Linked DNA regions of Kluyveromyces lactis. The protein of the gene in region 1 purifies or fractionates together with the protein of each later gene. This does not show direct contact. Links are inferred from orthologs where the notes say so. Each region holds a gene or a part of one and is shown in the gene's direction. Other genes may lie near its edges.

Region 1 (4,353 bases):
GCCATTCATACTTCTCGCATTTTTAAATAACCCAGAATTTCAGGTCCTAGAGAGACATCCCACTGTTGCTCGTAAGGTTTTGAAGGTTATTTCAACTACCAACTGGCTCAAGGTTTTCACAGAAAATCTCGGAAGTAACAATAGATATGTCATTTTGCAAACCCTGCTTGAGTTGGAAAAGTATTTCAGCACAACCATTCACAGAAAACATGTCGACGTTGTAACAAAACATGACGATTCGTCGCACCTGTCCACGTTATTGGGGGCATTGCTTGATTCCACTTACAAATTTAGAAATAGAGATCTCAAAATTTGTCAAATAGCAGCATCATGTATTAGCCTGATAGGACTATTAGATGTTACCAAGCATGCTCTACCCAGGAATACTAATCTATCTGAAGAAATTTGTGACTTTAATAATCATTCCCAAACAGTCAAATTTTTAATCAGTATTGTAAACAACATTTTAGTACCCGCATTCTGGCAAAGTGAAAACCCCACAAAACAACTATTCGTTGCATTGGTGATGCAAGAATCTCTGAAGTATTGTGGGCTCAGTTCAGTTAATTGGGATATTAACAGACCCGATGATTATCCTGTAGAAGCTAAATTATGGTCCAGGTTTAATGATATCTCTAAGACCACTTTGTTTCCATTACTATCGTCGCTCTATCTTGCCCAGTCGTGGAAAGAATATGTTCCCTTGAGTTATCCTTCGTTTAAAGTGAAAGATGGCTACCAAGTGTGGATACGCAACCTTACTTTGGACTTGCTTAAGATAGGTACAGAGGAAGATCATCCGCTTCACGTTTTTTCTTCTTTGATCAGAGAAGATGATGGTACATTATCAAATTTCTTACTGCCATTCATCACGATGGATATCATTCTCAGAGCCAATAAACATAACGAGTATTCGAAAATCATCGAAAATCTCTCCATAGAGTTCGAGTTCATTTTCAATTTCGATCTTCAGCAACTAAATCACTTTCAGATAGACTCGCTCAAGATGGCTTACAATACCATTTTCAGGGTTTATGAATACTGTAAAAAATGGGTTAGTAGTTTCAAGCAAGACTATCAAGCAGCCAACGGAACTTACATGATTCAGGAGGATAAAGTTTTGCAAGTTTTGGACCGAACTGAGAGATTCGTAAACACAATACCGTCAGACACCCTCGCCAAGAAATCGTTGGAAACAGATTCCTTTGAACGCTCAGCGCTTTACCTTGAGCAAAGTTATAGAGAACACGGAACCTCGTCTTTGGCGTCCACCGACTTATTGCAATGTATTCAGAACACATATGCCGAAATTGGGGATGTAGACGCTGTAGGTGGTGTGCTAAAGATGTTTTCTACTGGGAATTTAACCACAAAAATAGAAGAACTGCAATATTCAAAAAACTGGAAAATGGCTCAAGACTGTTTTGAAGCTCTTGGTGATTTTAAGCTATCAGCTAATTCTACCACTAGTTCAGAACTGGTTAAGTCATCAAATATGAAAATGTTAAAGTCAATGTATAGCCATCAACTATACGAAGAACTATTGATGAAGGTTAAAGTGCATCTTCCTGAGACGAAGGGATTCTTGGTCGATAATGACGGAGATTTGTTGAATATGGGTATTGAAGCTGTCAGTCAAACTGGTAACATTGTTGAGTTAACGAGGTGGATTGAAAGAGTGGAGCACATTCAAATGTTTAACGATCCCTCATTACTTTTGCATTATAATATTGCCAAGGTTTTGCAAGCTGTTAGTAGAAATCAGCAGCAAAATGTGGAGCGCTATATAAACAAATGTTTCACTCTTATTGGAGCCCAATTTACCATTCCATCTACTAGCACAACTTTGTTGAAGAATCGAGAAGTTTTGCAAAAGCTTCACGCACTTACAGATATCAAACTGCTGTGCAGCGCACATACTCAGTCTGAATTTTCAAATGCTTCGAAAGCATTAGATGGTAGGCTGTCGCACGTAGGTTCGGATTTTTCTCCAAATCATTATCTTTTGTCAATAAGGAAAACTGTAGAAATTATTTCAAAGAATCAGCATCTACAGAATGACATTTCGAATGTGTATTTCCAACTTTCTCAGCTTGATCGTAAAGAAAATCGTCTTGATTTGGCAGCAGAAGATTTGATGAATGCTTTGAAATATAACCACCATTCCGCGGAGCTTGAGTTTGCAGAAATTTTATGGAAACAAGGTGAAAAAGATATGGCCTTGAAAACTGTTGCAGAGATAACAAAACGATTTAAAGATGATCCTTCTACTGCTTCCTCCGAAAATCAAGATTTCAAGGAAGTGCTATTGAAGTATACGGAGTGGTTGGATTTGTCTAATAGCTCGGTTTCTGAGCAAATTATCAAGCAATACAACGAGCTTATTCGTTTTGATAAAAATTGGGACGCTCCATTTTACTCTATGGGTTTGTATTACAGTAAGCTTCTGGAGAAGAAAAAGGCTGAAGGATATGTTTCTGATGGCTCATTAGAATATAGATCAATCACAAACTTTTTGACCTCTTTCGAGAAAGGCTCTCCCAACATAAGACAATCCTTGCCAAAAGTTGTCACACTTTGGTTAGACACAGCTAAAAACGACGTGAATAATAGCATTTCTGATGTTAGTAATTATTCTTCAAGAATCTGCAACAAAATCGATACGGCAGTCAAAAATTGCGGTATACATATATGGTATACCGTTTTAACTCAACTTCTCTCCAGGTTAATGCATCCTCATACCGCGACAATACACACCATTGTTAACATATTATTTCATATGACGTTGGAATATCCTTCAGTGATGCTATGGTATATATCGATTTTGTTGAACTCAGAAAGCCTGGAAAGAAGGAATATAGGGAAACAAATAGTTGAAGCATTCCAGAAAAAAAACCCAAGGACTAAATTACCAGGAACAGCGATATCATTGGTGCAGTCATTGACCAGGGTATGTATAAAAGACGTTAAGAATACTGCTAGCAGATCAGGGAGATCAATAGATAGTGATTTCAAATTTAATCTAGAACTCGCGCCAAATGACATGTGTGTGCCCGTCAACATTAATTTAAAGAAGCTTTTACCATCCACAGCTACGAGCATGAACTCAGATCTATTCAAAAGTGTCATGGTTTCCATCGCCAGATTTTCATCCCAGTACATGGTATTTAACAGTTTGAAAAAACCGAAAAAGCTCACTGTGATCGGCTCTGATGGAAATATTTACGGCATCATGTGCAAAAAAGAGGATGTCAGACAGGATAATCAATATATGCAGTTTGCCAACACAATGAGTTTCCTGTTGAGTAAAGATGTCGAGTCTAGAAAACGAAATTTAGGAATAACTACTTATGGTGTTCTCTCTTTACGTGAAGATTGTGGACTATTAGAAATAGTTCCTAACGTGGTTACGTTACGTTCGCTTTTGAGTATGAAATATGAAAGTATGAAGATAAAATACTCATTAAAATCATTACAGGAAAAATGGCAATCAATACCTTCGGACCAAAAGTTGGCGTTTCATAAGGACTGTTTGAAAAAGTTTCCACCAGTTTTATATCAGTGGTTTCTTGACAACTTCCCGGATCCAATCACATGGTATAACGCAAGAAATGGATTTGTCAGATCTTACTCTGTTATGGCAATGGTCGGCCATATATTGGGTCTCGGGGATAGACACTGTGAAAATATCCTTTTGGATGTCTTGACAGGAAGAGTCTTGCATGTTGATTTTGACTGTCTTTTCGAGAAGGGTAAAAAGCTTCCTGTTCCAGAAATTGTTCCATTCAGATTGACGCAAAATATTACTGACGCATTTGGTATTATTGGAACGGAGGGTACTTTCAAAAAGTCAAGTGAAGTTACTCTAAGAGTCATGAGAAACAATGAAATAGGTCTTGTAAACATAATTGAAACTATTATGTATGACAGGAAAATCGATGAGTCAATACAAAACGCCCTTAAAGTTCTTCGAGACAAAATTAGAGGCATTGATGCCCGTGATGGACTGGCTTTGAGTGTTAGTGGGCAAGTGGAAGCTCTCACTCAAGAATCATGTTCGGTGGAAAATCTAAGTAAAATGTATATCGGTTGGTTGCCTTTTTGGTAATTATTCCTTAAAATCTATGTTACAATTTTCTACAAAGTTTCTAGCGTGGAGGCAATGGAGGAGGAGGGCGTTTTTTCCGAACCTGTGCGTTGATTTCCGGGATCATGTTCTCTGCTTCCTCGAGAATATCTGAAGATGTGATGGAATGCGGATTCAGGTTTTCATTATTTGTAAATGAGTAGCTCATCTCATGTCTCCTATAAACATCTGGAGATGTCGGGGAGTAAGACCCAGATGTTGACCTG
Region 2 (2,267 bases), on another chromosome or scaffold:
TTCACTGGCACAACATCTTGGTGTGCAGTGAACATAACAGGTTTCAAATCCGCGTTGGAACCAGCCCAGGTATAAACCAATCCAACCTCGTTAACCAATTCCTTCTTTAAATGTTTATGAACCAATGGATACTGTTCTTCCAAATATTTGTGAAATTTAAAGAACTCCGAATAATATTCAATATTATCCTTTGGTCTAGGGTTGACGTCTTGAATCTCAGTAGGAATTTGCAAGGCACCGGATAGCTTTTCAATAGCTAATTTCTTATACTCAGCATCGTTCAAAATCTTCTCTATGGAGCTCTCACCGGATGGGCTAATTGGCTCTGTCTTCAAGCATACAGAGTCAAAATCAATCTCATCATCATCATTTTCTTCTTCAACTACCAATTTTCCAATGGAAGTTCCAAACGTATTACTGAAATGCTGGTCAACCAACGATTTGACTTGTTCGATGTCGTAATTCTGGTTATGGAGCAAATACCCAAAACCCGCTAAAAAGAGCGAAGCCAATAGAAGAACCAAAGTCTTCGAACTGGAGCCTTTCACCGGCTGCTTATCACGTTTCTCGTCTGCCATATTTCTTTTAGAGCCCTTGATAATACACGAACCCTACAATAGAGTTTAATACGATTCTAAAGCAAGGGTATCCACTTGTTATCCACCTGTGTGCCTTAAAGATGAGCTGATTATCTTTAAAATTTTAATTATCAAAAAAAAAGGGACTTCTCGAGACTAAAGAACAATTGAAAATAAATGCGTTCCAAGATGCAGCAAAATGCCAGAGCCAAAAGTGGGACAAGCCCGTGGATTGACAAACCATATTACTTACCTACTTACCTATATATATGTGCATTATAAGAACACATCCAGGTATACCGTACCTCTGTTGTACTCTGTTTCCGTATGTACGTTTAGAGGCACCGAAGACCGAGAATAATCTTGCTGATATTTTATGCAGCCAGCATGAAGCATGCAGCTGACAACTTCTAAGCTTGGGCAAAAAAAAAAAAAAGGCAGAGAGGATATCGAAAAAAATGGGCAAATTCCAGCCTGTTTAGAACAAGACGAGGTCGAGTCAGCATACTTTAAGACTGATACAATTGACCTGGATTTTTCATGGAGGAATCTGTTCATTACATAATGCACATTACATTCCTCTGGCCGCATGGATCTTCTATTGGGAATTGGTGGAATGACAAGAAAGAAAAAATAGCGTTCACGTGACCGTTGTCATGAAATCAAAAGAAAAATTTCCAATTGTATGTTACCCGGTCACAAAGTTGCACACGAAAACCTGTGTTATCAATTTATTTATATTTCTGTATATTAAATGCATCTTGTTAAAACGCGTGAACTTGTCATTACAGCAGACTCATCTTTAACAGCAGCAACCAGCAACCAACAACCGCTAGTGATGTCCAACCAAACGCCAAGAATTGACCCGAGCCAAATAAGCAATACTCAGCACTCAGTGTTTCGTATCATAGCCAAGGTGTTAGATCAACCACAACCAAAAGAGTTAATCCTACAATCTCCAACAACCAATGGAGAAATGATAACGCTATCACAAGTGAAACTGTCACAAGGAAGTAACATTGAGGTTGGATCCTGGTACGAATTTGTTTGCAGAAATGTCGATACCGGTGATATTGGGTTGATGGTGCTTGATTCTGTGAAATGTGAGCTGAAAGAAGGTGAAGAGATCAGTGTTTCTGGTATAGTTGCATTACAACAATTGAGTGGCAAGTTCCCAGATTTGTACTAAGTTTTTACGTTTGAAAAGAGGGGAGGATGGTGAGAGGACAAAACTGGAAAGAATTATAAATATATGAGTGTGTGTGTTTTTTTTTTGATTTGTATAAGTATATTTATATGAAGGCAGTATTACGGAAACCCAAAATATCTCTTGTAATCCTTAAACAGAAAGCCAACCAAAAAAAAATAAATTGTTATTAGAGTAGCCCTAGGGGCATGCATGCACGATTGTATCATAATTGGATCATCACCTTTTTACCTTCTCTTGTTGTTCAGTTTTCTGGTGGTTAATGTTTGTCTATCAGTTGGGTCATACCAACCACCGTTATCAGAGGGGAATGGCGCAGGAGTTGCATAGTTGTAGTCAGAAGTTCTTGAGTAGGACCAACCCGGGGTGTAAGTGGTCATTTGTTCCAGTGAGTTCCGAAGACTGGTATAGTAGGTGACTGCACTCGTTGCGTACCTTCTGGACCATGTTGTTACTGTAATTGCAGTTCCTGGTTGGGTCTG

The links.
Region 2: the proteins of MEC1 (region 1) and RFA3 purify together in Saccharomyces cerevisiae (affinity purification with mass spectrometry; 3 studies listed by BioGRID). This does not show direct contact. The link is inferred for Kluyveromyces lactis from reciprocal best matches to the Saccharomyces cerevisiae genes MEC1 and RFA3.

What each region holds. Positions count from the first base shown.
Region 1 is NC_006039.1:1,367,635-1,371,987, reverse strand, and holds the end of MEC1 (protein kinase MEC1), read left to right. Parts: coding exon 1-4,108; downstream 4,109-4,353. Other genes in the region: NVJ2 (Nvj2p), read right to left, coding at 4,149-4,353. UniProt on the Saccharomyces cerevisiae protein: Serine/threonine protein kinase which activates checkpoint signaling upon genotoxic stresses such as ionizing radiation (IR), ultraviolet light (UV), or DNA replication stalling, thereby acting as a DNA damage sensor.
Region 2 is NC_006037.1:587,524-589,790, reverse strand, and holds RFA3 (Rfa3p), read left to right. Parts: upstream 1-1,416; coding exon 1,417-1,767; downstream 1,768-2,267. Other genes in the region: CPS1 (Gly-Xaa carboxypeptidase), read right to left, coding at 1-578; KRE9 (Kre9p), read right to left, coding at 2,013-2,267. UniProt on the Saccharomyces cerevisiae protein: As part of the replication protein A (RPA/RP-A), a single-stranded DNA-binding heterotrimeric complex, may play an essential role in DNA replication, recombination and repair.